2 linked regions of the Lepisosteus oculatus genome follow. The protein of the gene in region 1 purifies or fractionates together with the protein of each later gene. This does not show direct contact. Links are inferred from orthologs where the notes say so. Each region holds a gene or a part of one and is shown on either strand. Other genes may lie near its edges. The genes, in order: lrrc41 and drg1.

The links.
Region 2: the proteins of lrrc41 (region 1) and drg1 purify together in Homo sapiens (affinity purification with mass spectrometry; 3 studies listed by BioGRID and IntAct, counting the BioPlex papers as one, with this or other methods). This does not show direct contact. The link is inferred for Lepisosteus oculatus from reciprocal best matches to the Homo sapiens genes LRRC41 and DRG1.

What each region holds. Positions count from the first base shown.
Region 1 is NC_090704.1:3,308,923-3,323,598, forward strand, and holds the start of lrrc41 (leucine-rich repeat-containing protein 41), read right to left. Parts: upstream 6,132-14,676; 5' UTR 5,926-6,131; coding exon 5,826-5,925; intron 5,376-5,825; coding exon 5,289-5,375; intron 4,831-5,288; coding exon 4,760-4,830; intron 4,373-4,759; coding exon 3,475-4,372; intron 3,200-3,474; coding exon 2,969-3,199; intron 2,583-2,968; coding exon 2,421-2,582; intron 2,162-2,420; coding exon 2,063-2,161; intron 1,606-2,062; coding exon 1,483-1,605; intron 1,259-1,482; coding exon 1,183-1,258; intron 590-1,182; coding exon 370-589; 3' UTR 1-369. Other genes in the region: uqcrh (cytochrome b-c1 complex subunit 6, mitochondrial), read left to right, coding at 7,065-7,112, 8,369-8,404, 8,873-9,034, 9,474-9,506; 5-methylcytosine rRNA methyltransferase NSUN4, read left to right, coding at 10,886-10,978, 11,782-12,212, 12,606-12,760, 12,964-13,124, 13,326-13,450, 13,841-14,117. UniProt on the Homo sapiens protein: Probable substrate recognition component of an ECS (Elongin BC-CUL2/5-SOCS-box protein) E3 ubiquitin ligase complex which mediates the ubiquitination and subsequent proteasomal degradation of target proteins.
Region 2 is NC_090717.1:729,568-745,122, forward strand, and holds the start of drg1 (developmentally-regulated GTP-binding protein 1), read right to left. Parts: upstream 7,141-15,555; 5' UTR 6,919-7,140; coding exon 6,880-6,918; intron 5,802-6,879; coding exon 5,678-5,801; intron 5,532-5,677; coding exon 5,356-5,531; intron 5,258-5,355; coding exon 5,188-5,257; intron 3,997-5,187; coding exon 3,827-3,996; intron 3,249-3,826; coding exon 3,118-3,248; intron 2,863-3,117; coding exon 2,695-2,862; intron 1,791-2,694; coding exon 1,668-1,790; intron 408-1,667; coding exon 308-407; 3' UTR 1-307. Other genes in the region: patz1 (POZ-, AT hook-, and zinc finger-containing protein 1), read left to right, coding at 10,117-11,324, 12,156-12,219. UniProt on the Homo sapiens protein: Catalyzes the conversion of GTP to GDP through hydrolysis of the gamma-phosphate bond in GTP. Appears to have an intrinsic GTPase activity that is stimulated by ZC3H15/DFRP1 binding likely by increasing the affinity for the potassium ions.

The sequences.
Region 1 (14,676 bases):
GGGAACTCCGACACCTTTATTTTTAATTTAAAGACAGAGGCATCTCATTTGGACTTAAAATGTTTCTTTTTTGAGGGCAAAAAGGAAATGCCCCTACCCCCATCCCCCCCCTTTTTTTTTTAAAGCTTCAACTCTGTGGTGTAAATAGTTTGTGTCCCGCAATGGCACCGTAATAAAAATCAGAACTGTAAGCGCCGCGGTGTTGTGCGTATAATGAGATTCGAAAGGGAAGAGTCTTCCAAACGGTCAACTGAAGAGCACGTCTGACATTTCTGTTGGGGTTGTTAGGTTCAGAAACGAGCACTTCCCAAGATCTCAAATGGTAATGTGAATTAGTGGGTATAAAAACGCCCGCCCAGCTTGCTCTGGTCACATGACACTGATGTGGTCTGCGAAGGTGGTCCTGGAGTTCCAGCAGTCTTTGGTCACGTGGCACAGTGCCTGCAGCTGCCGCATAGCACGCTCGGTTTTCTGGGGGTCTCTGTCCAGGGGGTTCTCTCGCACATCAAGCTTCAGATGAGGCGAGGGGGGGTGTCTTCCCAGCAACCTCCCAAACTCCAGCAGCCCGTCGGGCAGGATGTAGTTAGAGCTGTGCAAATAAAACAGGAATTCACGCAGCTCCTTGACATTCGCCAGCACTGTCAAAGTTAGAGCATCTGTTGCAGAGCTCTACAATAATCCTGTTTAGCAAGTTTGTTTTAAATATACAGTATATAAATTACTGATTTCAGTTTTGGTGTGTTTATACCGTACAAGTATGGAAATTCAGTTCTTTAAAGGTAAAATGGGATTAGTGATAAGTATCAACCCTGTACCATTTTCTGAGTTTCAGAACTGCCCTGAAATGGGTTGCCTGAAATGTAACCAAACGGAATCTCTGCAGTAGGAAAAAATGCTCATTGTGACTGTCTCATTCCTACTATGGGTGTCACATGCATCATCACTCCCACCTGTGTCTGTTTTTCGTCAATGGATCAACTGGGGCCGTGTACATTTCTGTGTGCTGGTGTAAGGTATTATCGATAGTCAGTACTGACCGAAGAAGCAAACTAAATTAAAAACTGAAAAAAGCCAGCAGATCAATTAAAATCATCGACAGCACTGCAGATTTAGAGCTCAGCTAGAATGAAAACCAGCAGACACACAGTTCCTCCAGGACCAGGGCTGGAATAATATAATTACCTGACGTTTAAGTGCTGAATTCTGCCCAGAGAATTTTCAGAAAACAGGTCAGCAAAGGCTATCAGGCCCTGATTACCTGTTTGGAAAAAAAAAAATCAAACAGAAAAGGATTAAAATGTGCAACAGGAGAACCTCAGTCTGGAAGGGAAAAGAACCTGAGAACAGTCACAAACGAAAGGAGGCTGTCGAGCCATTTAGCTTATGTGGTAGTTATTGATCCAGGGATCTCATCCAAAAGTTTCCTTGAAAGAAGACAGGGTATCAGCTTCAGCGAAATGGAAAAACTATTCCAAAGCTCACCCAGGCGGTTTTTTGACACAGAAATTGATCTGAGGGATGTCTGTGCCTTTACTGTGTCGACGAAGCGGCCCAGGAACTCCTCTTTGTTCCTTTCAAACAGGCGGCAGTCCGTGAAGCGTACCTCTAAAATGGGAAAAAATGAATCACTGACGGCTGACGTCAGAAATTACGATTGTTTTTTTTTGCTATGGCCCATCAATGCCTCAGTTTCCTCAAAGACCTCAGCTGTAATTACTAAAGAAACATCATGTCGGGATATTTTTTAAATGGTAAACGTATTCAGCAAGACTTTGAACAAAAAACCCATAAATGACTGTTTATGAACATGAGCACCAATGTCAGCATGAAAGAAGTCCATCGGGGGAAAAAAAAGGGCAAAATTAAAAATGTGGGTAACGAAACCTTCAGCGTGCGTCAATATTGTTGACTGTATCGTTAAATAAAGTGCTTGTGGGAAATTGTTGAGGGGAGAGCTACGGCAAATAACATTTTGACACTGTCCGTACACAGAGGTGGTGAGCTCAAATCCACAGTCGTACAGGAAGTTTTCTTCACTTGTCGCCGACCGAGGGAACGTTACCTTGCAGAGCAGACCTGTTCAGGAGGTGAAGCACTTCATCCTGACAGCCCGAGAGGCAGAGTTCCTCCAGGGACAGGGTCAGCAGGCGGGGGTTTGACCCTACCACACACAAACAGGACAGTTTTCCGTTCAGTCTCCTATCTGCGTTATATAGGCAGCTGCAGGGTTGGGATACTCAATCGAACAACAAGGGACGGTGACATGCCAACACTGAAGGGGTTGAAGTTGTGAATACTCCAGGTCCTGGAACTGCACGAGTAATTTAACCCCAGAACCTCTTTCCCCCTGCAGGGCGGTGTCTAATGGCCATGTTTCATTCAGAGCAGCAGGGCGACAGAGGACCAGAGGCTGTTGGTACCTGGCAGAGCTAGCAGCAGTGCGCTGAGCTGGGGGGTCTTGCAGCGGAGCCCTTTCAGGTGGAGGCTGGTCAGGCTCTGCGCCCCCTGGAGCACGGTCACGAAGCCCTGAAGGTGCACAGGCTCGACTGGGAACTCCACCTGCAGAGTCTTTACAGAGCTCACTGGGGAACAAAGGCCATAATCCAGTGTCGGTTTCGTGGTTTGAGTGAATTTGCCCTCGGTTTAAATAGTCTTCAAAATATTCAGCAGGCCCCGTACAGTAAACATACGTGGCTCGTGTGTTTGCCTCTCAATTTAAAATTATTTTTTTTTTAAGTATGCTAGTTATTTTCTATCCCAACTACGAATTTTCAACCAGAAACATTAGGCTTGTTGGAGAACACCAGCTCATTTTGATTATTACATTTTGTCTGTCTGGTTTCTGTTGACTAGCGAAGGGCACGCAATTCCTAACTTTGAAACATTACGACATGCTGGACAGGGCGTACTTCATGTGATGCAGCACAGTGCTGTCGCTCCGAATGGCCCTGAGAAAGACATACGTTACCTATGGGTGCAGGCTGGTGAGAGGAGCTGCTGTTCCCCTCTGCTCCATAGAAACCAAGCGTAAGAGCCTCCAGCCCAGGACAGGCAGAAAGCAGGCGGGCCAGCAGGGTTGCCACGGATATTCTGCAGCAAACGCTGGTGATGGACAGCACTGAGAGGGAGCAGGCTGGGTTCTGGTACAGCAGGCGCAAGGCTTCCACCATCTCCAAGAGGCTGGGCTCCTCTATGGACCCTGCAGGCAGCACAAAACGGGTAAGAAACTGCAACATGGGGATGCAGGCTGAGAGAGCCGAAAGATCCTAAAATCCATTCTTTTCTTTTTTTCCCCGTTTATAACCAAACATATGGCGAGAGCTTATTCCCTCCCACAAACGTTAGCATCTGTACGTGACAGAGCCCTCTTCAATACATACAGAAGGCCAACGGTCTAGAAAAACTGGGACAGCCTTGCTCAGGGGAGACTGACATGTCGGTCCTTGGCTCTGACGCTGGAGCTGCCCTACTCACATTCACACGTCACCTTTAGGGAGCAAAGACAGAACCAGGAAGAGAGAAGGGGCGAGAGAACTCGGGAGATGACTTCATCGCATACGTCAAGCACCAGAGCAGTGATTCTTCTGACAGGGCAACCTCCCTTCCCTGAGACAAGGGAGGGAAAAGAGGAGAGAGTGCAACCAGGATCCAGGATTTCAGAGTCCACGCACTGGCGGAGTGGTAAATGAGGGGTTCCATCGAATCTACTGCATCCGCCGGGCTCAGCGCCACCCCTGGGCTCCGAGATGTCAAGCCGAGGTAATTTCAAGGCTTTTGCACACAAGTCATCTACCAGTCTCCTTTTCCTGGCTGCACTCTTGTGCTCCTGGTTGCAGCCCTGTGCCTCCTGTGACAGGCCTGTTCCAGCACCGGATGTGTTTGGTCCAAAATCGGAACGCCTCTCATCTTCCAGATCCTGAGTGCGAGATGAAAACGACTGACTGCCCTCCTGTTTCTTGATATCTTGGTGACCAGCGCTCATCCGAAGGATCCAAGTCCAAAGACTGGGGCTGGAGATGCTGCATTTACTCATGACCAGAGTCTGGACCGAGCCGTGGTGGAGGAGGCGATGGATGACGAAGAGCACCGGGCTGAAGTCGTTGTGGAAGAGAGAAAGTCTGATCTCCCGGAGCTTCAGCTGCGTGACGGTGGCCTCCAGGGTCTTCAGGACAGGCCGGAACTCCTCCGAGCTCAGCCGGGACGTCTGCGCCAGGGACCTGGAGAGGATGAGGACCCTGACGTACTTGGCCGCCAGCGAGAGGAGGGAGAAACGGGGGTCTCGCAGACGAGGGTGTTCTTCTTCACTGAAGTGACCGAAAGTGACCATGTGGAAGAGACGCTCCAGGAATTTCTGTCGCCAGTCCTTAATTGGCTGAAAAAATTAAATTAACTGATTAATATATAGAGACTGTATTAGAGGGGGTGGATTTACATGGGGCTGCGTGTATTGTACAGACTGCTGTACATGACCTGCATGCAGAAACCGCTGCTTCACAGATGTCTCTCTAAATGAGAAGGATGTGCAGCTGTACTACCTGTTTATAAGTCACTTTAAAGCTTGTTTGCTTCAAATTAGTCAGATATGGAAGTACAGAGTGTCTCTATCCAAATTTTAAGCACTCCTACAACAAAAACACACTGAAAATGTGTCTTCATTTTTGAAAAGTGCATAATTCGCTGCTCCCTATGTATAATTTTGTATCTATCTTTTTACAAAGTCTAAATTCACTTAAAATAATTGATTCCAAGTGGGTCTGACCTTGTTTCCAGGAGGCCTGATTTTGACCACTTCCATCCAAAGTCCAAACCACACAGAAGCAGTGGACAGGCCTAAAAAGAAAGTCAGCTTTTAACATTTCGTTTAGATGCCTCGCGACACCTGCGCTGATTAGACTGCTTTGCGATAATCCTTTATTTATCCAGTCTGGTCTGTCGAGAACACCACAGCTGCACCGAAAACAGTGAAAGAAAAGGAAAATTGAATAAAATGAAATAAAATACATGCAAAACGGCTCCCATGGGCTGTCAATATTCTCGTTCCCATGCACCAGGACAGGACAGAGTTAGCAAGTGTGGGTGTAAGGCAGTGAATTGCTGACAAACTTGCAACACACATACAGTAGCTACAGAAGTGTTTAGCACGGTCCTCTTAGAATGAATGCATTGCAATTGCTCTGGGTAAGGTGCTGTGTGCTGGCATGTTTTTCCTCAGCCTTGACTCCTATGATAAAGCACAGCTGCACTCCACGGCGTGCCCCAGCCCGCAGAGCAGCCCCGTCTGTACGTGCCTTTGCGAACAGCTACGTCCTCGATCCTCTCCAGGTAGAATATGTTCAAGTGCGGCAACAGCTCTTCAATAAGAGAAGACGGTATGTCTGTGGGGAAGGCACAGGGGCGATCAGTAGGAAACAGAAAACAACCAAGCGCATCAATTATAAGTGGACGAATACACCAAGTCCTACCCTTTTACCCTTTTTGTTATTTACTTCTCTGTAGATGTGTAATAACTTGAACGAACGCCGCTTCACACAGTGAAGTTTACGACGGGAAGGTAACGCCGAGGATCCGCAACTCTGAGCACATTTCGATCACTTGCATTACGTCATGGCGTCAGCTAGACCGTTTCTCAAGTTGCAGGTAGTTCTCACACTTTTCTATCGAGGAAAACTCGTGTGAAAACAAGTTGTAGGACCGCCTCTACGTTTTCGGAATCAGCAATAAACGGTCACCCAGAGATTTAAGTCCTTGTGTCTCAATCACAAGTACTTTAAAGAAAATAAAAGTGATCTATTTTTTCCGCTTTTCTGTTTGATACAGTTTCTTACCCCAGACTTGCTTTTCCAGTACGCGCATGTTTTTGCTGACAGCTTTGATACATATTTTCAAAAGAGGCGCGGCTACATCTGCTTCATGCTTGTTCTCCATTAGTGCACGGCACGTTTATAATAATATATACATACTGTATGTCTGACCTCAGCTAGAAAACTCACGTATACTCTGTTCCCCTCTAACCAGCACTACAGTACAGTACATCACTCTCTTCCCAAGTCAACACTGTTTGCACACACTGACTCCAGCAAACACGTGTTCCTCTTCCGCCTACGTCACATGACTCCTCCCCCCGCTTATCTGAAATAAAAGGGGTGTTTGGGTTTGTAAACGATGTTATTATTCTCAAATTACCATGCCATTGCGTGCGACACTTTCGTGGCAGTGTAAATATGGTTCAGAATTATTCAGTTCATCATACCTTAAAGTAAAGGTGTATTTAACGTATAGTGAATTTATTTTTATTGTGTTTTGAAACTATAGATAACTATAAATGGGGTATAGATAAGATATGAGCACTTTATTGGCCACGATATACACTGATACAAGATCAGAGAGAGCTGAATGCAAATAAGGTTTTACTTTAAGGTAAGTAATTAACTTTATGGAATAAATTGCTCATCTTAATGTTTATATGTGTGTGATGACGGTAACTGTTTTATCAGTACTTGCGAATTACAGAGTTCAGACCAACACGTTTTGCATATTTTATTATTTAAGAAATATCACTTCTTAAATAAAACAACTCTTTTTAAGATGATCTTGTTGTGGATGTGATGTTGTATAATCAGGCAGTCCATGTTGTGTTTAAACAGTAGGGAATACCTGAAAACATGCCCGGATTTGTGAAAACACGCATTTGAACCTTTAAAATTAATCGACTTTTTATGAAAGGAAACTTTTTCCAAAGGCCACGTGTTGGCTTTTTTTTACATATTGGCAAAATAAGTGTGCGGTAGTTTCCTTATAATTATTACAGAGCAGTACTGAGGTGAAACACCGTGAAATTCTGGAATTCTAAATTGATACCATTTTCATGCCCGATGAGCAAGGAAAGGAAGACGGCGGAAATACGTCAGAATGCCGGTTGTGCAAAAGCCCTATTGGCAATATCGCAGCTTCCGGTAGTGTTGTTCGTAGTTTCCGGCGTGTGACCTGAAGGTCCTCCAGACGCACTCGGGTTGTGGTGGAGAGGGAGCGTGATTTAGACCGGTTTGTCACCCCCCACAGTAATCATGGTTTTGACAGAGGAGAAGATGCTTACGAACGGAGAGCCCGACGAGGTACTCATCTGAGATGCGGTTCAATGAAAATAGTTTAAAATGACCGGAAGAGATGTTCTGTAGGCTGTCCGTGAAGTGCGTGCGTCCAGTGTCTTCTCGGGCAAGGCCTGGTTACGAAACGGCGTTCAAATGCCGAATGAGGGGCTAGTCCTCTCTTCTTTTTTTAATATATTTTTTTTCAGTGCCTCTAGGATGCCCCGCTGTCTCTGGCAGCATCAGAGCGGCGCCGGCTTCCCTGTGTTTGATGTGTTTGATCCCTTGTCAGTGGGAAGGAGAAGAAAGGGCTGTGATCGTTTTCTCGGTAGTCCGAAAGTCTTGCTGTTTGAAAGCTAAAGTTGTACTAAATGCAAAACAACAAAAAATCAGTGGGGTGGTCTATTCGTGACCGGTACAGTGTGAACTGTTGCATTCCGGATGGTAATTTTAATGTTGAATTCATGGTACCATTACGTGTTCATAGATCTGATTTTGCACATCTCATCCAACTGCTTGTTATCCGCTTTGAAAGCTCATTCGCTCATACGTTACTGCATGCTTCGAATGACATCTGACTAAAGAACAAAGTATGCTTTTTTTCAGTAATGCCTTGTACATGTACAGCGCCTTTCATCCCAAATGGTCTTGTTGCACTTGGCCTGAATTGCACCAACGCCTCTGACAGCCCATTGCCCCCCATTACTGGGCCCCTGGTGTTTGACATTCCAGTGAAGAGCGCCCCCTGCTGGTCCCCCAGCCTGCTTGCAGAAGCTGGGCTTTCCTTCCCAGTTCTCATCAGGCCCGGCCTTGCTTCAGAACCCTGCTCAGTTCTGGGTTATGTCAGTGTCTCCCAGGAAGCATAATGGGGGAAAAAGAAGGACATTGACTCTCAGCAGCGGAGCACACCAATAAATAAGAAAACTGCAGGGATGTATATTTACTATTGAAACCATGAGCTACTTCTATGCTCAGTGTTGTAGGAGTCTGCAGAAGGCTACCCAGCAGTGCTGTTTATACTGATACCCGGCTTCTTTTAAAGGAACTGCTGGATGGGATCCTTGGGTCTATGGGCTGCTAGCAGTCTAAATGTGGTCAAAACAGGACTCGGCTTCCTGCCATTTCTGAACTTCATGTTCTTGTATCACCACCCCTTTTGTCAGTCGTGGGCTGAGAGGTGGAGCTGCACTGTCTGCAGCAAGTGTTCTGTGGGTGTGGAAGAAAAATGTTGGTGAAGATCTCAGATGTTGTTTTCTCTTAATTGTTTAACACTTTCTCTACAGGTCGAGGAAGAGGAGGAGGAGGAAGAAGAACTGGTGGTGAGTATGCCTCCATTCTTGTCCTTACTCCAGGGGTGAACGCTGATTGATGGCCGGAAGTTCTTCCACAATCTTTCCCCCAGGGGGGCAGTTTGTGTGGCTCTCTCCCTCTCGGTCTGCCTCTGGAGTGCCGACACGCTGGTATAATGGTGTAGCTGGCGTGTTATTATAAATGGGGTGGGGGGAAACAGAAGCAGTAGTTGGCTTCTGCTTTTGAGACCGTTCTTATGTTGAGTTGTGTGCATTTGGGGGATTTTCCCGAAGAATCATTACAATTCGCGTAGCTCTTTTTTTTGGAGTCTCTGCGAAACCAGTTTATCTCTTTAAAAGACTGTTCGTCAGCACAGTCTGAGGGGGTCATGGCCAGAGGCTCAAGCCTGGTCCAGCCAGGTTCTGGGGATGGGGGGGGCTGTCTCCTTCTGCGGCAGGCTCGGCGCCCTGACCCCCCCCCCCCCCGTGTCTCTGCAGGACCCCCTGGTGGCGATCCGGGAGCAGTGCGAGCAGACGGAGCACTGCGTGCACGCGCGGGAGAAGCTGGAGGCCTGCGAGGCGCGGGTCAGCTCCCGGTCGCAGACGCTGGAGGAGTGCACGGAGGAGCTCTTCGACTTCCTGCACGCCAGGGACCACTGCGTGAGTCGCTTCGCTCGCCCGCCAGCGCGAGCCGCGCGCTGATCGGTGTTTTCCCAGCCAGGGATTTCGTTAATAAGAGCGATCAGAGCAAAACATTCCCGCAGAAAGCTGGGCCTCGGAACGGGACGAGCCGTGCAGCTCTGATATCGGAAAGAACACCTGACACACATTCCCATCAGTTTCAGACCAACCCATAATCGTTACATAAGCTCCGAAGTGCTGTTTTTTGTTTGTCTTCTGATCGCACTATTACTTACCTGATTGTAAAGAGAGATTTTCTGTTTTTATTGCCATCAAACATTATCGTTTATGGAACCCTAAAAAATTCTCCAGCATATCTGGAAGGGGAACTTTATGTGGTAAAATGTGAATACATTTTAAGTTTGAATAAAAGATCTGCTCTGTGCACTGATAACAGATTTTGTTTTTTACCCTGTAGGTGGCGCACAAGGCCTTCAAAATGATTAAGTGAAGTCGGCACAGCTCTGGCGTCAAGCTCCAGTTTCTGTGGTAGATGTCATACAGCTGTGAAGTCTGTATTTAAATAAGAAAACGGCGCCGATCAGAAAAGTTCCTGATGTCCGTTTCTTCCCCATGCAGTTTCAGGAAATGTTTGAAAACCTCAGCTAACTGTGTATGTGTCCACATGTGAATAAAATGACATTCTTTCTGAATCTGCTTTCCTGTGTCTAAAACATGTGAGAGACAACATTTGAAGGACTGACTGTGCGCTTACTTGTGTTATGAAGGTCAGTTTTGAATGATTTTTTTTGGTACGTGACACTCACTGCATATTATTTGCTTAGAAGATGCATACCCAGGGTGACTAAGATCCAGGACAATGAAATTAGGAGTGAGAGCAGCAGGAACAGTAACTATAAGGTGAGTCAAATTAGAACGAGGCCAATACAAGCAGGAAGAGCAGTGCACATGCTCACCAAACCATGTGAAAGAAAATATACAGTGTGGATAGGAAGCATTAATAAGAACTCGCTTGTACGTATGTTGTGTTTGAGTCAGTGCAATATGGGATGAAGGTGGCAGAAGATAAAGTGAGAGCTGAGAGATCATGGGTCCTGCCTTCCTGAAAGCATCTTGAACCAGTACAGAAAGGTGGTCAGGGGTGGCGATGAAGGTTTTGGGTGATACGCTACAGACCGATATCTTAGCTGGTCTGCATTACTGTGTGCATCGATCCTGTTGCTTATCTGGAGTTTTATCTGACATTGAAAGGCCTAAGCTTTCAGAGTGGGGAAAAGTCTCTGAAAACATCCCAACAGAAACCTGATATCTTCCATGGATTACAATTAAGTGAGACTAAGAGAATGATGCCATCTTACACCTTGGAGCATTTCATTATTTATGAGCTTATTAATGCACCACCTTGTGTGATTCGTGTGTCTTGTATTGGTAGACTTATTGTGGCCAGTGCTTTTGAATCTCAAACTTGACAGATTTCTGGAGCTCTCAAATGTTACACTGTTGCAACATCTATAATAAAAGGATTTGCATCTGCATAGATCTTATCGTTCCAAAAGACCCCAAAGTATTATATATATATATAAAGGAAAGGACATTTCACCTACCACTGAATGAAGCACCCCCAGCACTGCAGATAAGATAGAGGAGTGAGTTCCTTTACAACTGTACCACTTGTATTAAGAATTTAACCAGAGTATACTGAACATTTCTCCTCAGTGACATATATTGTTTTATGTGTCCATATGTAAGGCAGTAAGTGAATGAGGAGAAAAAATAATTTCCAAGCTCGGAACTCTCAACTTTAACCCGGCGGACCGATCGTTGCGGAAGATCGTGTTTCCCGGGGCATTTTGTACTGTGACATTCAATATGGCTGCGCTCACAGACACGAGAGTGTTGCTTCGGAAACTGAAGGGTTTGCCTCATTTTATTCCTTGCAGAAATCGAGTGAAGAAGAAATGGGTAATATAATCCTCAGAGGACGTTTTATGCCGCTGAAATAGGAAGTGTTCTCTGTTTCGAATTCAGCAAAACGAAGCGCAGACAGGTTTAATTGGACCCGCACTAAACTCGAATTAATCAGATAAATACCCTTGCTATCTTAATGATATTTGCGCGAAAGAACGAAAATATTTAGGCAGAACAGCTATGGTCGTTTACTATGACTAATTTAATGTCTATGATATATTTGATTGATTTCTCAGTCAAAAATAACTGTAAGCCTCAATGTCTATTTCCATCCAAGACCGGCGATTTCTTTAGTTTACTATCCCTGATTCTCAAGTGATTTCCGTTTGTCTACTGTAGCAAAATCAAAATTCACTCTACACCTAAAGTAAGCTCACGTATACTGTACATATAATTAACGGTAACACAGGGAATGCTTTTGTATCGGCATGCAATATATTTGAGTATTTTTTTTTATTTAAAAAAACATCAAAATCCACAGAAAGTGTACATGAATGCGCGCCAGGTTCGTTCAGGACTTAGAATGGGCGTATGTTGTGTTATAAACGCCAGCAGGCTATAGTCGTCATAGGGAAAACGGGTGACATTTAAAAAGCAGCATCGTTGCAAATGTGCCGCTCTCAAATTTGGAATGAGAGCACGCTTGTGGAAACGCTTTAAGGTCATTCGGACAGTAAGCAATGACATAAGGACCTCTACGTGTGTTTGCATCTGGTTCTGCATGATTCTTAGCTTCATGTTATTGTCATAGGAATCGGTGCTGAACTGTAAGTCCAGGGTCTCCATTCCCCCGACAGGCTGCCACTCAACCCAAGATCTCCTCCACCAGGCTGGCCTTGCAGATCTTTGACATGACGTACGGCACCCAGTTTGCAGAGCAGTGGCCTCCAGTTCGGGCCAGCCTGCTGTCGGAGCAGAAGTATGGAGCTCTTGTCAACAACTTCTCCACGGCGCAGGAGGTGGTGGCGGGACTGGAGCAGCAGGGGGCGTTCGACTTCGTCCAGGAGGCTTTCAGGAGAGACTGTGCCGCAGGGCCCGGTGTGGACGGGCCAGGCACGAGTCGGGACCCCTCGGTAGTCGCCGGACCTCCGTGCGCTGGAGCCCCGGAATCCAACAGTGAACCCCAGAGTTCAGGATCACTACAGGATGGCAGATTCCCAAGTCTCAGTCCAAATATCAAGTGCTATGTTTTCCCTAAGGGTGACATCACGCGTTTCAGGCCTGCAAGGTGAGAAATCTCTAACCATGCACCAGCTGTGACCGTAGCCTTGTCTTTGTGGTGACAGTGGCCTGCTCTGTGTCGCCAGCACTGATCACAGTAGATAGCCGTTAGTGGTGAGATTGTCTCTAACGTGGGGCATTCACTGCATCTTATCTCACGAAACTGCCCCAGAAATGTAGCTGGATCAGAAAGGAAGTCTTCAAAGTGTCAGCGCTAGGGAGACTTAAAAAGAAAGTTATTGTAGACTGTAGGGCATAGCTCTGCTACATAAGGCGTAGGTGAAACAGGAGGAGGTGAAACATGCCGCATTTTGATGGTTGGATTGACACCGGTCTTTATTTTGAAGGAGGTACAGTTGCACGTCTAGTGCAGAACATGACTGCGGTGGTGTTTTCTCAGGCCTGACCGCAGTGGTTTCCTGGGCTACTACCTGCTGGACGCGGCCTCGGTGCTGCCCGTTTTGGCTCTGGACGTGCAGGAGGGCCACACTGTCCTGGACCTGTGCGCCGCGCCAGGGGGGAAGACGCTGGCTCTGCTCCAGACACAGGCCTGCTGTAATCATTTTTCCTTCATACAACACATGACGTCCGGGAGATAAAAGACCAAGAAAACTATTAGTTTCTGTAAGCTTTATGTGGGAAACTAAATGCACGTTGAAGGAACCTTCAGGGAATATATCAGTGTGAGTGATTGATGGTGTCGTTTTAGCCCAGCCGTGATGAAACACGGACACGTGCTGTCGTGTGTGTGTTCACAGGGCGTCTGGCAGCCAACGACGCCTCGGGGTCCCGCACTGCTCGCCTCCGAGGGGTCCTGCAGAGTTACATTCCCAGGGTGCACTGCTCCGAAGACAAGGTGCGCATCACTTCCTTCGATGGCAGGAAGTGGGGTGAGCTCGAGAGAGAGACTTTTGACAGGGTGAGTAATAAGATCAGACTGCCCTGATCTGGGGCCTTATGACACGCAGCACTTATTTAGATCTCGTGGTACATAATCGACAAGTCTGCTTTTGGCAAAAGTAAATGTAATGGTGTCTTTCCTTCACTGTCATTAGAGAAGATGTGCTTCCCTGTGAAGCTGGCAGAGACCTTGTAGTGACTCTGTGTTGTGGCTGCCCAGGTCCTTGTGGATGTGCCCTGCACAACAGACAGACACTCTTTGCTGGAGGAGGACAATAACATATTCAAGAAGTCCAGGACCAAGGAGAGACAGAGACTGCCACAGCTCCAGACAGAACTCCTGCTGTAAGTGAGACACTTACACACTCTAGTGCCTCTTTCTTTTCTCTCCACTAAACATTTTGCAGATTCGGGTTGTCAAAACATTTTTACGCCTCGAAATCTCCAGACAGTCAAGTTTTCTTTCGAAATACTCCTGTTATTGTTGTACTTTTCAGGAAACAGGCCGCTGTTTCCTAAAATCTTTCCAGTACTTTTTATTGACCACCAGCTTTTTGTCATTGGATTTGCGCTACACTCCCAAGAACTTGAATTTAAGGTAAGTGAACCACGCGAGCGCTGTGGCTCGCCAGGCAGTCGTTGTCCTTCTCCCGCCTTGACCCCGCGGAGGGCGCGGAAGAGACCGGCTCCGGCCTCCGGCCCCCGGCGGCGCTGCTGACGGCTGCCTTCTCTCAGGGCAGGGATTCGGGCCGCGCGGCCGGGAGGGGAGGTCCTGTACTCGACCTGCACGCTGTCGCCGCTGCAGAACGAGTGCGTGGTGGAGAGAGCGGCCCAGCTGGCCCAGGAGGAGCTGGGGATAAGCGTCCGCGTCGTGGACCTGGCGCCCCTGGCCGGCCTTTTCCGGGACGTTTTCCACTTCGCCCAGGGTCTGCGCCTGGGCGAGCTGGTCCTGCCCCACCTCGCAGCCAACTTCGGCCCCATCTACCTGTGCAGGCTGCAGCGTGTCAGCTAGAGGCCGGAGCTGCTCCGGGCACGCGTTCTCCCAGCCGGACTCACTGTGAGGGTCAGCACGGCCTTGGCGGGGGACAGGCTGCAGCTGGACAACAGGGGCTTACCTGTGATCGTCAGTCTGTAGTCGTCTCCACAGGGCGCTTCTAACTGTTGGAATAAAATACATGTGTTCAAGTATTCCAGCTCCTCCAGTAATGAATTGTATTCAATCAAAAAGACTGGTCATGCATCATTAAAAACTTATTATAAATATTGAATCAGACAAAAACAAGCTGATTTTGTTTTTTCTGGCTGTTGTTTGGTAGGACTGGTTGATGCTAGTGAAGATACAAGCTCTTTTCCTACAGACTCTTCCTGTAGAAAGTGTTCTTGTTTTCTTGTGGAAGAGTACAAACTCTTGCTAGAGAGACCAGCCCCTAGACGCTGTCATTTTTTGCAGAGGTTTTAAAAATATGTTGGACTTGTGGTTGATAGTAGTCAGGGTTTACCGTGCTGAGTTTGGACAAAGGTTTGCCCTTTTTTTCTAGGCTCCTTACACCGTGAATTGGCATGCTTTACTG
Region 2 (15,555 bases), on another chromosome or scaffold:
GTTCAGGCTGTCTCCCCTGTAATACAGCAAACCAAGCAGTCTTCACCAGCTGCAGCACAGGGGCCCTCCTGGGCCTGCTGCCTGCCAAGGTGGTTTCCCAGGACGCAGCTCATTCAGACACTGTAATTACACGGTCCATGCACCTGCATCCTGTACAACCTGTAAGGAGGCGTTTCTGTCACAGAAATGGGGATGGCCAGACTGAGACTGAGCAGTTTGGCTTTATTTCCAGGTATTGGTGAAATTCCCCCCCGACGTCGTAGACCAGGTTGAAATTTGTGGGGGGGGTGGGGGGCGGGGCGCCCCTTTACTTCTTGACGATCTGAATCACATCCTCGTCCTCCATCACGTGGTCCTTGCCCACCTTCTGAGGGTTGTGCTTCACAGAGGAGCCCCAGACCAGGGCGCTGCGGAGATGAAACAGGGGGTGTTAAAGGCAGCAGAAAGCACTGCAGAGCTCCGGGTCCATCCGTCCCTCTTCTAACCCTCTTCTTCCAATTCAGGGTGGTGAGGGAGCCGGAGCCTATCCCAGCAAGCAACGGGCCAGGAGATGAGTCTATCACAGGGCACACACAGTCCAGGGCCAATCTTCACAATTAACAGAAGCCAATTAACCAATCAGCACGTCTTTTGGGAGTAAAGCAAAGCACCTGGGGGAAACCCACACGGACACAGGGAGAACATGCAAACTCCACCAAGACAATCCAGCCCAGGGGCTAGAGCTGGGCGATAATTATCGCGATATAATTTTCCTCGATATAATTTTAACAAAAGTTTGATAAATGTTCGATATATATGTTAATGCTTTGCGCATGATATGCGCATGCGCACAAAATACTGCACGAGGGCGAGTGCGTGTTGCAGACCGGGCAGCTGACAGATTTAATGTTTCTGCTGTTTGGCAAGTTTGTTTTGTTCTTAAAATAAAGAGTTGTTTAATTTACCAATTAACTGTCTGGTTTCTTCAACTTTCACTCAGGAGAAAAAATCTGCCTTTAAACTTGAAAGAAATAATGATTTGACATTTATCGCGATAATTATCGATATCGACTGATACGAAAATATTTACCGTGAGAATGTTTTTGGCCATATCGCCCAGCCCTACCCAATGCTGACCCCTGCAGCACCCTGCCGCCCCGCTCCAGGGCCTTGTGGTGTCGACTCAGGTCCAGACCCCAGGTACTGAACTGAGCTATTGCTGAAGCCTGGGGTGTCACACCCCTCCTACTGCAGGCCAGTGCTGAACACACAGGACCCTGCAGAGCTCACCGGTCTCTTCAGTCCAGAGAGGCCGAGCCCAGTCCTGGACATCTGGACACCCGCAGGTCCACCAGGGTTCAAGATTGGGAAAACAGAGGGCAGATGACTGACTCATCCCACTTCCGGGCTCTAAGCGGACCCCCAAGAGCACAGGATCCCTGCAGCTCTGGAGTCCATATCCTCTGGCCTCGTGACCAGCCCCCGTCTTCCCCCATCTGGAACACGCCGGGCCGGTCCCTCACCGGGAACGTCGCGCAGACAGAGCAGCCACGTTGCTGAAGCCGATATACTCCGGCTTCTTCCCAGAAAACGGACGGATGGGACCCTGGGATCGGTTAACGACTAGCCGGACGGGCCGAGGGGCCTTCGACCTTCCCCGGCTTCGAACCCGGACCGGGAGGACTCACTATTTGAATTCCTTGATGAGGTTCTTGTGGATTTTCAGGCAGAAGTCCTCCACAGAGGTCCGGTCGTCCGGCAGCACGACAGGAGCAGTGTAGTCCGGCAGCTGACCCTTCGGCTTGGTGTAGCTGAGGACACAGAGCGGGAGGGGGGGGCATGAGATACCTCGCTGCGGCCGAGGGGTACCGTACGTCGAGGGTTAAAGCAGGGAAAAAAAAAAAACAGCTCTCAAAAGCAAGGCCGCTCTGAGCGGTGCAGCACGCGGGGCCTCGCCCAGACCCTCCCAGGAGAACACGCTACCCCCCCACGTGTTCCTCCAGCCCAGACCCCGACCGGCGCGTAGACGAGCCCCCAGGACACAGGCAGCAACAACGCTGTTCTCCCCGGCCTATCTGTAACTGAGCAGCACCCCTGTCTGTGCTCCTGCTCTGTACACGAGTGGGTAGCAAGGATGTGCAGTTTTCACAGCGACGGGGAACGGGCACAGTTCCAGCACAAAGGGCTCTCGGCAGAACGGCTGTTCTAAGGTGAGGATGATTCCGTGCTGAAAAGCAGAAAGAAAAGGAGCAGTGTTTCCCCCTTGCGGGGTCTCCCTCAGGTGTGCCGCTCCACACACAAGGCTTCATTTTCCTTCTACTGGTCAGTCACGGTCAGGATTAACCTCTGCGCGCTCCTCCGCAGTTTCCCCACTTCATCCCCTATTGCTGTCAGTGGAGTGAACGAGACACTTGCCATCGCCCATCGTCAGGGTGAGTGGCAGCCACTCCGAACAACCTCGCCTGACCCCTGCTGCGGCCGGGCTGGAAACAGCCCCGGATTCCAGGCGGGAGTCACCCAAGGGGCACCCTTCCGACTGCCCGGCGATTCTGGGCGCGATCGAGCTCGTGCGGCCGTGCGGATGTGCTGTCACTGCCTGGACGATCCTCCGGGACAGCCAGGAAGCATCACAGAAGCCCCGCTACCATACAGCACCTCCGCGCCACAGAACAGCCGGAGTTCGGCTTCTCCACGGGCCTCCCCGCCCTGACTCACATCCGGACCAGCTGGAGGTACTCCCAGATCCTCTCCAGGAGATCGTCGAAGTTCCAGCGGTGGTGGGCCGAGATGGGGACACAGTGGGGCACCTTGTAGATGATGTCCAGCTCCTCGATCGAGATCTGGTCGATTTTATTCAGCACATAAATACAGGGGATGTACACTCTTGGAAGGGGAGAAACACACACAGAGAACATGAGATCAGCGTGTTTGTCTTTCATATCGACAGACAAGGTGAGAAATCTACACCTGGGTGGACTGGCGGTGCCCTTGAATTAAACCAGCAACCGATTGGTGGAGTCATTAGGAGTTCAGGTGGTGCAGGAGTTCATGTTCACTGGGAGACCTGTACTCTACCAGACCAGGTGTGACTGCTAACTCTGGGACCACGCAGACCACCCCCAGGAGTCCAGCTCATACCGGTTTCCCTCCACCACGTCGATGAGGTCATCGGCGGTGACATCGCCGCGCAGGGTGACATCGGCGTTGTGGATTTTGTACTCTGCCAGGATGCTCTTCACCGTGTCTGCGTCCAGCTCACTCTGTGTACACTGAGAGAAAGGGGAGGAGTGCGTAGATATGAGCTCTGCTGTGTTGAAGAAATGACAACTATAGAACTCCAGGCAAAGGCAGGAGAATCACATCTCAGAAGAGACTTCAAATTAGTGCTGTTATAGCTATGTTTTGTCGGGGTTATAAAAAAAGAACATTATCGAACCCTCCACACTCAACACACCCAGTCTGACTCACTGCTGAGCTCCTGGTCTCCCCCTCACCCATAGTACCCCATCTCCTGACAGTGAGACAGGACGCACCCACCCTCCCTCCCTCTTCCCAGAATTCCCACTGTACCAGTGGGTCAACTCCACGCCCTGTCTCCTGGTGATGAAACAGGATTCGCCGCCCTCCCTCTTCCCAGAATTCCTGCAGTGGTTGCCCCCGCGCCCCGTACCGTGGCAGTGAGACAGGACGCACTGACCCTCCCTCTTCCCAGAATTCCTGCCCCGCGCCCCGTGCCGTGGCAGTGAGACAGGACACACTGACCCTCCCTCTTCCCAGAATTCCTGCCCCTGCCCTGTACCGTGGCAGTGAGACAGGACACACTGACCCTCCCTCTTCCCAGAATTACCGTGGCAGTGAGGTTGATGCCACCCTTGTCCTTCTTCTTGAAGCCGATGTTGGGCGGCTTCTTGTTGAGCCGGATGCCGAAGCCCTCCAGCTCGTGCTCGATCAGCTTCTTGTGTCCCAGCGGCTTCAGCACGTCCAGCACGATCAGGATCAGGTTGCACGTTCGAGCCACTGGGGGAAGGAGGGCGGCCAGGGTTAAGAGTGCAGGGCCGTCAGCTCTCTCGTGCTCTCGGCAACACTCAGCTAACCAACTCAACAACTCTGCTCAAGCCTGACCAGACTCCCAAGTCTGTTCGTCTGTACGCTTGATCCTATTTCCTTCTGAAACGGTTCTCATCTCTCAAGAGTTATTCAACAAAGACCAAAACGCCGACTGAGCTGAAGTGTTTTATCGTTCTCTTGGTCCTAACTGTGTGTGGAGCTACAGAGGTCCTTCAGCTCCTCGGCAGTAACCCCAAATGCAGCCCTCTGAGTCTTTGTCAGCCACAAGCTGCTTTGAGCTCCACATTCTGACGCTGTGGACTGAAATGATAGAGCACACTCAAAGAGCAGCCATTGTTTTTCCGGGCCAGCCAGCTGTGGCACCACACTGATTGTGTCCTGAGACTGGATCGCACTCAGGCGAGTCATTGTGTCCGCTTGTCCACTGAGACACAACACCTCCAACATCACAGAAGTAATAATATAATAATTATAATTCCTTACACTTATGTAGCACCTTTCTGGACACTCCATTCAAAGCTCTTTACAGGTATTGAGAAATCCCACTACCACCACCAGTGTGCAGGCCCAACTGGGTGATGCGCCAGTACACTCCCCACACACCAGCTCTCAGTGGGGACGAGAGCAGACTGATGAAGCCAGTTCAGAGATGGGGGTTATTAGGAGGACATGACTGTAAAGGCCAGGGGGAAATTTGGCCAGGACACCAGGGTTACACCCCTACTCTTTTCAAGAACCACCCTGGGATTTTTAATGACCACAGAGAGTCAGGACCTCGCTTTTAAGTCTCATCCAAAGGTTGGCACCTTTCTTACAGTACAGTGTCCCCGTCACCATACTGGGGCATCAGGACCCACACAGACCGCAGGGTGAGCGCCCCCTGCTGACCCCACTAACACCTCTTCCAGCAGCAGCCTCAGCTTTCCCAGGAGTCTCCCCTCCAGGTACTGACCAGGCTCACCCTGCTGGGCTTCAGTGGGGCTGCCAGCTGGGAGCTGCAAGGTGATATGGCTGATGATGCACTCCGTGCATGAAGTGACAGTAAGGCGTCGTTTTCACTCCAGCAGCGCCGCTGAGGACCCGGGTCACAGGTCCTGACCGCGGACCTCAGCTGGTCCTGCTGCGGGCGTCTCCTCTCACCTGCGATCACCTGCCGGCCTCTGCCCTTGCCATCCTTGGCGCCCTCGATGATGCCCGGCAGGTCCAGCAGCTGCAGCACAGAGGCACACGGAGGTCACAATCGGGGCGCCCCCGTCCCCCGTCCCCCGTCCCGCCCCTCCCTCCCGGCGGCCGGCGCCCGCGCCCCACCTGGATCTTGGCGCCCTTGTAGCGGACGACCCCCGGCACCGTGGTGAGGGTGGTGAACTCGTAGGCGGCCACCTCAGAGTACACGCCCGCCAGGTTGCTGAGCAGCGTGGACTTGCCCACCGAGGGGAAGCCCACGAAGCCGATCCGCGCGTCGCCCGTCTTCGCCACGTCGAACCCTGCCAACGACACCGGGAGCGGGTGAGCCGGGGCGGCGGCGGGACCGGGCGCACCACCAGCACCACGCCTGGCGCAGGTCCGGGCGGCCAGCTCCTCCCTGTGACCCAGCGTGGAATCAACCAGGACTGACCCCCAGCGCCCTCACCTTCTCCCGTCCCCCCGCCGCTGCCACCCTTGGGCGTGATGAGCTCGCGCCGCAGCTTGGCCAGGCGCGCCTTGAGGAGGCCCAGGTGGTGAGCCGTCGCCTTGTTCTTCTGAGTCCGAGCCATCTGGAGAGGGGAGAGAGGAGAGGAGGAGAGGGGAGAGGAGGGGAGAGAGGAGGGGAGAGGAGAGAGGGGGAGAGGGGAGAGGAGGGGAGAGAGGGGGAGAGGGGAGAGGAGGGGAGAGAGGGGGAGAGAGGAGAGAGGGGGAGAGAGGAGGAGAGGGGAGGAGAGGAGAGAGGGGGAGAGGAGGGGAGAGAGGGGGAGAGGGGAGAGGAGGGGAGAGAGGAGGAGAGGGGAGGAGAGGAGAGAGGAGGGGAGAGGAGGAGAGGGGAGGAGAGGAGAGAGGGGGAGAGGGGAGAGGAGGGGAGAGAGGAGGAGAGGGGAGGAGAGGAGAGAGGAGGGGAGAGAGGAGAGGGGGAGAGGAGGAGAGGAGAGAGGAGGGGAGAGGAGGAGAGGGGAGAGGAGAGAGAGGAGGAGAGAGGGAGAGAGGGAGAAAGGAGAGGGGGAAAGGGGAGAGGAGGGGGAAAGGGGAGAGGAGGAGAGAGGAGAGGGAAGAGGGGAGAACACACATTCTCAGTCCCGTTTCAACACCGATCACAGGGTCCTGCTGGGCTGCCTGCTCCACACTCCATGCTGCAGGCTGCTCTGGAATAAGCAGCTGGATGAGATTCTCAGACCCAAAAGGTAATAATAATAAACTATTCTATACAGCGCCTTTAAAGGTGACTTCTCAAAGCGTTTTACAGAACGACACCAGCAACAATACAAGTCGCAGTGAGAGGAGACAGTAGCGCTGAGCACCCTCCGGCCCGGCGCCCTGTGTGGTCGCCCTGCCCTGCCTGCGTGTGTCACTCGGGCTCCGGTTCCGCCGTCCAGACCCGAGCTCTCCAGCCGCGAGGCCGCCGGGGGTCCAGGCCCCCCGATGCAGACGCACGGGTCCGAGAACAGAGTTCGGACGCCGCGAGAACCCCTCTGTCCCGCTCGCTCGGCGGTTCCGGTTCCGAACCGGGCTTGGACCAGGACCCGTGTTCGAAAGCCGTTACGCCCCGGCCCGCCGGGACAGACCCCACCCGGAGGACATCAGGAATCATTCAAATCAGACGGCCGCCAGCACTGCTCCGAGCCCTGCAGCGTCCACACGCACCTCGGCCTCGATCTCGGCGATCTTCGCCAGCAAACTCATGGCGGCTGTGGGTCCGACACCAACTTCTTCCTCCCCGCCGGTGCGCCGCTGCCGCAGTTCTCGCGTATAACGAAGGGTGAAGACTCGGTAGCCGCTCGGTCCTCTGTCAAGCCCCCCACGCTCCTCTCTCCTCTCTCTCACACACACAGACGCCCGGCTCCGGCACGGCGAGCGCCTCTCGCGAGAAACCACGGCCACGCAGCGAGCAGCAGCGGCGCTGGGGGAACAGGGCGCCCCTGGCGGTGCGGAGGAGGTACTGCAGCACCCCCCCCAGCTCCGTGGGGGAAATGTCTGCGGACTCTAAGAGCGACAGTGCCTCACAGTGCACAACTCCAGCCCCCTACGTGTGCTCTCACGTAGGGGCTAACTGGTCTGAGAATGTCACCCAGCTCACAGGCTTGTGAAGGCCCTGTTACTGAGACCTACAAAGGTTAGGCTTTTACTTCATGCTGAATTGACTTCATAACTAGTTCCCTGCTGAAAGTCACCAGTTACGGACCTTCGGAGGTGCAAGAACTGATCATGTATGTGTGTGTATGAGTGAGTGTGATTGTGTGTGCATTTATGTGCATGAGTGTAATTGTGTGTGTATCTGTGTGTATGTCTGCATGCACGTGTGTGCATGTGATTGTGTGTGCCTGCGTGCGTACAGTATGTGTGTGTGCATGTGTGTGATTGTGTGTGTGTCTGTGTGCATGTGTCAGACTGTGTGCGTGTGTGTTCATGCACGTATGTGCATGTGTGTGTGTCTGTGTGCATGTATGTGCGTGTGTGTGCTCGTGTGTGTGTCTGTGTGCCTGTATGTGCGTGTGTGTGCTTGTGTGTATCTGTGTGCATGTGTGTCCACATGTCCACAACATCTCCCTACCGGCCAAACCCCAAGTCCTCACTGCTCCTGCAGCTGTGTGCGATCCGACTCGGATCCGATGGGGAAGCCAAGCCGGCTTGCGGAGCACGCCGGGATCTTCCCACTGGCCGGTGGCTCAGACTTTGGGAAGACGAATCCCTCCCGGGGAGCCAGCAGAGGGAGGGGGGGATTCTGGGGTGCTCTGCGGACCCCATCAGCACCTCTGCAGCCTGCGGAGCGTGTCCCTGGAGTGGCGGTCCCAGCTCGGCGCCGAAACGAGGGAGGAGGGGAATAATTGGGAGATTAACAGCTGATTCCACGTGCAAGGCGAGCAGAAGGCAATAGGAGCGTTTCAGCAGTGGTGCCAGAGCAGTCTCCTGCCAGCTGCTGCCCCACACATCTGCTGTGTGTTGAACTCTCCCATCAGACTGACTCGCTCGCCACTTTCCGTCTCTCCTTGAACTTCTCGCTCGGATGGACTGTCTATTATAATAATAATAATATCACTTTACTAACCCTTTATAATTTCTTGCATTAGGAATTTGTCTTTTCACAGACCCCAGCTCGCTCTCCATGAGACAGACAGGCAGGGAGAGAAGCTGGGGGTCAGAGTGCAGGTTCAGCCGTTTATACGGCGCCCCTGGAGCAGCTGGGGTGAAGGGCCTTGCTCAGGGGCCCAACGGAGTAGGATTCCTCTGCTGGCTGCGGGATTTGAACCGGCAACCTCCCAGCCACAGGCGCAGATCCTGAGCCACAGAGCCACTGCTCCGCCCCAATATATTCTCTTTTCTGTTCACTGACCTTTCACACGTGTGATGTTTGGAAGGTGCCGTGGGAATGTTTGGATTTACCTGTAATTTAGAGACACTTTCTGCTCTTATTCCGCTGCTGTGTTGTTTCCTCTGGTCCGCAACGTTAGTGAATGTTTTCTTGCCCCCAGGGGTATATAAGGCACCCGTCCCAAGAGGTAGACAAGCACACCAGTGCAGGTAAATTCCTGGGGTCTGGGGGCTCTCTTTTGCCCCAGAGAGCAGGGGGCTCATGTACACCCCCAGGGGGCAGGGGGATCGCTTTTGCCCCAGGGGGCGAGGGGCTCAAGTACACCCCCAGGGGGCAGGGGGCTCTTGTACACCCTAGAGGGGTAGGGGGCTGTTGTTTACCCCAGGGGCAGGGGGTGCTCGTACACCCCCTGGGGCAGGGGGCTGTTGTGGCGTCTGCAGGGCTCACACACACACACACACAAGTGCGAAAGAGTTAATGAGCACAGAGGCTTCCCTGCCCTGCTGTAACTCGAGAACCCCGGCTGACAGCTAAACGGTAAAAAGCTAGAATGTACACTTACGAGTTACCCCCCCCACACTCACACACCCACCCACCCACACCCCACAATGCACCGCTCCTCCCCCCCCCAGCGCCCACACCTGCGGATCCCGCGTCCGCCTGCGTCGGTGCTGCCCCGTGGGCGGCTGTGGGACCTGCTACCCCCCAACTCCCCCTGACACGGGGGGAAAGCGGGAGGGGGGTCGGATTTATGATATCTGGATGAGTGGAGTCCGAAACGCGCGCAGCCCCGCGGTCGGGCTGGAGCGGGGTCTTTAAAAACAACAGCCCCTCTGGTCCCTAAAATCCAGTTTCTATTCTCTGCATCGGCGGTGCATTTGGCTGAGAGCGTTAACCGTAGAAACGGCTTTTATTCGCCAACTATTTCACACCCCCGTCTCTATTATCATCATTATTACTGTTATTATTGTTATTACTAGCGGGTCACTCGGAGGAGCCGAATCCCTGCGAGCTCGCAATCCCGGCGGCGCTCCGAGCTGTGTGTCGCGCTGCCTCTGTGGGAGGGGGCATCCGCGCTGGAAAAACAGGCCTGGGAATCGCGCGGGGGAGGGGGGAGGAGACGGAGGCCGGGATGGAGGGGAGAGACGAGCCCGGAGCCGGCGGCCGTGTCCAGGCGCTGGCTACCGGAGAGTCCGACCCGCGCCGCCTCGCCCCCCTCTCTCAACCCCCCCGGCTGGTGCGCGGAAAACACAGCGCTTTCCGAGTGCCCCTACCCCCCTCCCGGCTGGTCCGCCCCCCCCGAAACAAAGGTCAAAGTTCACAGGAAGCTGGGGGGCTGCCATTTTTTCCTCCCTGCAAACATTTTTTTTTTAGATGCAAAAGAGACGCGAGCAGGGCTAAGGTGTCGGAGGGTGCGTGTGCCGTGTGTTTTTAAAAAGAGAAATTCGCCGGATTTCTCCGCGAGTTGGGTCGGTTTGTTTTCCTCCTCTCTTTCTTTTAAATTTCCCACTTCTGCTCCTGCGTTTCCCCCCTCGAAGCGCCGAGATACGTCGCTCTTGAATGAAGGCAACATGGACAGGATAGCGGAGCAGCCGTGGAGCTCGTCGTACACGTATCAGGTGAGCAAGCACAGCGCCGAGATGCTCCACAACCTCAACGTGCAGCGCCGCACCGGAGGCCGCTTCTGCGACGTTCTGCTGCGGGTCGGCGAGGAGAGCTTCCCCGCGCACAAAGCGGTGCTGGCGGCGTGCAGCGAGTACTTCGAGTCGGTGTTCAGCTGTCAGGCGGAAGGGGACGGGGAGACGAAGGAGTTGGAGATGCACACGATCAGCCCCAAAGTTTTCAAAGACATCCTGGACTTCGCCTACACGTCCAAGATCGTGGTGCGGCTGGAGTGCTTCCCCGAGCTCATGACGGCCGCCAAGTTCCTGCTCATGCGCTCGGTGATCGAGATCTGCCAGGAGGTCATCAAGCAGTCCAACGTGCAGATCCTGGTGCCGCCGGCCCGCGGCGACCTGGCGCTCTTCCGGACCGGCGGGCCCGAGCTGGGCTACCCCCTGGACATGTCCAACGGCGCGGGGCTGGTGGCCAACGGCTCGGTGTTCGGGGGCGGCGGGCCGGCGCACGAGGTGGACGGGGGCGGCCGAGCGGGCGGCCAGCAGGTCATGCCCTCCCTGCAGACGGTGGACCGGCTGCCCGTGGGCGGCCCCGAGCTGGCCGGGAACCCCTTCCAGGGCGGGGGCGGCGCCCAGCCCGGGGTGGGGGGCAAGCGGGGCCGGGGGCGCCCCAAGAAGGTGCCGGCGATGGACCCCCTGCTCTTCGGCGGCGCCGGCGTGCCCAAGGACCTGGGCATCTTCCCCTGCGGGCTGTGCGGGAAGATCTTCACGGACGCCGCGCGGCTCCGGCAGCACGAGGCGCAGCACGGGGGCGCCCCGGCGGGGGGGGCGGCGGGAGGGGGCGCCCCCGGCCTGGCGGCCCCGCCCCCGGCCGGCCTGCTGGAGAACGGGCTGGGGCTGCACGGCGCCGGCCCGGCGGACTCGGCCCGCAAGCGGGAGCGGACCCGGCGCCACGTGGGCTGCGACGTCTGCGGGAAGGTGTTCCGGGACGTGTACCACCTGAACCGGCACAAGCTGTCCCACTCCGGGGAGAAGCCCTACGCCTGCCCCGTGTGCGGCCTGCGCTTCAAGCGCAAGGACCGCATGTCCTACCACGTGCGCTCGCACGACGGCTCCGTCGGCAAGCCCTACGTCTGCCAGAGCTGCGGCAAGGGCTTCTCCAGGTGAGTCCGGGGGGGGCCGCCCCGCAGGGGGGGCGCGTCGGGCTCCTGCCCCGCAAGGGGAGCGCCGGGCGGGACTCCTCCGGGCTGGGGACAGGGGTCCACCCCTGCACACCCCAGAGGGGCGGCGCCACGGAGCCCCGCTGCTGCAGCTGAGGCCCGGCCCGGTGCGCCCGCGCGGGCTCGTGGTTCGGGCGGTCAGTGATGCCCGGGGGGTGGGTTCCTGGGAGCTGGGAGCCGGGTGGAAGGTCCTGCCCTTCTCACCCGGGCTGGGGGTTTCGGGGGGTTGCGCCGCTCTGTCGAGAGGGTCCGGGTTGGGTCTCGTGTCAGGGTGGCTGCTGGCTGTGCCGAGGCCGGCGAGAGGGGGGTGCCCCGGAGTGGGGCTCCTGCCTTCGTTCCGTGTGGGTGACGCCAAGGGGCCCGGTCCTCTCAAGAGCGAGGCCCGGAGTTCCCTCCCTGACCTCCCCTGCACAGTTAACCCCAACGATTATTTTCCTGGAGCGGGGGGGGGGGGGTCTGATCCACTCGGAACCAGGGCTGCCGTTGCCCCAGTTCCAGAACGGGGACCCCCCGGATCTCGTTCGCTTCGGAAGTGTTGCTGCTTTGCCCTTCCTGGAGCGTCTCCGCCCGGCTGTGTCCCAGGCCCACTCGGGGAATGGGGATCCCGGGTCCCGGTCTGGTTTGGGGAACGGGGATGGATCCCGGGCGTCAGGTCCGGTTTGGGGAAGGGGGGGCCGGGGTCCTGGCCTGGTGTGGGGAAGAGCGGCGGAGCTGTCCAGCGGACGAGGGGAGGCGCCTGTAACCCTGTGCTCCTGTGTCCGACTCTCTGTTTAGGCCGGACCACCTGAACGGGCACATCAAGCAGGTGCACACGTCTGAGAGGCCGCACAAGTGCCAGGTGAGCGCGGACACGCCCTGCCAGCTGCGCCCTCCTTCCCGCGGGTCATCGAGCCGCGTCCCCCTCCCGCTGTCTGAGGGGCGTCTGCAGCAGCTCCTCCTTAGAAATGGGAAACTTTTGGAAATGTTGCTTCTGCAGGACTTCCGTTAATAATGATACAATAATAAACTATATTCTCTATTTACTTTATTTTATTTAGCAGCTTTAGACGTAACTTCTCAAAGAGGAAAAGAGGTAGCGGAATTAATCCAGTGAAAAAGAACACTCTACCTGAGTTTCAGTTGTTAATGTGTTATACTGCTGTTACGAATCGCTCATAGAGAGTCAGGAAGTAGCAGTTCCAGGTATGTAGCTCCTTTCCCAGAGAGCTGTGTGGACAGGCACAGACAGACACAGGGTCCCCCAGCTGTGTAGATGGACAGACACAGACAGACAGACGGACGGACGGACAGACACAGGGTCCCCCAGCTGTGCAGACGGACAGACACAGGGTCCCCCAGCTGTGCAGACGGACAGACAGAAAAACAGACACAGGGCCCCCCAGCTGTGTGGACAGACACAGACAGACGGACAGACAGAAAGACAGACACAGGGTCCCCACAACTGTGTAGACGGACGGACAGACACAGGGTCCCCACAGCTGTGTAGACGGACGGACAGACACAGGGTCCCCACAGCTGTGTAGACGGACGGACAGACACAGGGTCCCCCAGCTGTGCAGATGGACAGACAGAAAGACAGACACAGGGCCCCCCAGCTGTGTGGACAGACACAGACAGACGGACAGACAGAAAGACAGACACAGGGTCCCCACAGCTGTGTAGATGGACGGACAGACACAGGGTCCCCACAGCTGTGTAGATGGACGGACAGACACAGGGTCCCCACAGCTGTGTAGACGGACAGACAGACAGACACAGGGTCCCCACAGCTGTGTAGACGGACGGACAGACAGACACAGGGTCCCCACAGCTGTGTAGACGGACAGACAGACACAGGGTCCCCACAGCTGTGTAGACGGATGGACAGACAGACACAGGGTCCCCACAGCTGTGTAGACGGATGGACAGACAGACACAGGGTCCCCACAGCTGTGTAGACGGACGGACAGACAGACACAGGGTCCCCACAGCTGTGTAGACGGACAGACAGACACAGGGTCCCCACAGCTGTGTAGACGGACGGACAGACAGACACAGGGTCCCCACAGCTGTGTAGACGGACGGACAGACAGACACAGGGTCCCCACAGCTGTGTAGACGGACGGACAGACAGACACAGGGTCCCCACAGCTGTGTAGACGGACAGACAGACAGACACAGGGTCCCCACAGCTGTGCAGACGTGCAGTCATAAACTGAGGGGACCCCACAAATGTGCAGATGGACAAAGACTGGGTCTCCCCAGCTTTGGGTTGGATCTGGTTCGGTTGGGGCAGTTTCAACGCGGTACAGGGGTAGTTTCCCCAGGCAGTGCTTATTGCCCTAGACTGGAGTGTACATGTCAGGCACAGGCTGTACTCTGAGCACACGAGCTCTCCGGTCAAGCTGCTGCAGAGCCTGGGCTCAGCACAAGGTTACAGGGAGAGCGCGTCTGCAGGCTGGCTGTGACAGAAACTCGAGCTGGCCGTCGCTGACTTGTCCTGGGGAGCTCGCGCAGAGCCGGAGGGCCCGCGTCTGTGTGTGCTGGGGGGGGGGGTCTGTGAGCCCAGAGCCGCTGTAATTCTGCAGGGACACAAAATGGTTTCCAAGGCTGAGTGGATTGCAGGAGGAAAAGGAGGGGTGGAGGGGTGGGGGGGAGGGACGCTGTTGTTGTTGTTGTGGGGGGGGTGAGACGGGAGGGAGAGGCCAGAGTCAGAGCCGCAGGGAGGGTGTAACTGTGTGTGTGTGGCGGTGGGGGCTGGACAGTTTCTGCATGTTGCTAGGAGAGGGGAGGGGGAACAGGGGAGGGAGGTAGTGTGCAGAGGCCAGAGCTGGGGGGTGGAGTATCCGTGTGTGTAGGTGCTTTTACAGCAGGGGGGGGGAGTGGTGGTTAAGGGTTGTGTGTCTGGAACCATTTCAGTGCAGTTGCAGTGCAGCGTGGGTGTGTCCCGCTGGCTGTCCATTAAGACACGCTGACATCACCCCGGCTGGCGGGGGGGGCCGGGGGGGGTGGGCTGCAGTGCTCGCCGGTTCCAGGCACACGTGCGCGCTCACACGCTCCGCGCGGCCATACCTGGCTGCGCAGGTGGCGTCCGACACAACCGGAGGGACAGCGCGGTAGCACTGTGGGTCACGCAGGGCCTGACGCAGATGCTGCCCCATCACTGCCGACCGGCTGCTCATTGGGGAGCTAGGATTGTAAACCTGTATCTTCTGCAGCACAGAGAAGAAGGATTGGAGTCTTTTAAACATGTTCGTAGATTTCCGTTATAACTTTATCTCTATAGTAGGAGGAGGAGAGACGGTGTGAGGTGTTTGCTTTGAAAGGCGCTATATAAAAACCCTATGATCCTGTATACCTGCCTGGCGTGGATGTAACAAAAGCCCGGGCTGGACTTTCGGCTCTGTGGACCAGTTCTCTGCACTGTTGTACTAGAACACCTCGATCCTTCCAGCTGATCCGCCCCAGGAAGTCTCCTCTGCCGGAAGCTGTAATTAATTAATTGGTGCAGCTGAAGATCAGTGAGGTGGCCCACAGCCTTCTGCTCTTGTGGAGGGAATAAAGACCTGCGTTCTGGCGCGGTGTGGGGGGGTCGCAGGAGAGACTCCGGCTCTGGGAGGAAGGGGTTATATGTGTTGACATGGAGAGTGAGGGAGGAGGAGGAGGAGGCAGGGGTGAGTGGGACAGAAGTGGGGGGGGGGGGTAGGGCGGAGCAGATAAAAGGGCAGCATGTGATAGTTACCATGGTGACCGCTCTGTTTAGAGCAGGGCAGCTTGTACCACTGAGAGTCCTTAAAGGCACAGTGCACTTCCTGCCCTACAGAGGGAGAAAAGGCAAATAATACTCCCAAGTATCCTTGTGCCCTCAGCTCTCAGTTTACTGTCTCTTTGCAATTCACAGCTGGTGTGCAGAACATGTAGTATAAGTGTCAGGACACAATGCAATGTGAATGGCTCAGGTGTGCAATATAAGACCAGGTACACAGAGCAGTGTGAAAAGCTCATGTGTGGAGTATAAGACCAGGTACACAGAGCAGTGTGAATAGCTCAGGTGTGCAGTATAAGACCAAGTACACAGAGCAGTGTGAATAGCTCTGGTGTGCAGTATAAGTGTCAGGACACAATGCAATGTGAATAGCTCAGGTGTGCAATATAAGACCAGGTACACAGAGCAGTGTGAATAGCTCAGGTGTGC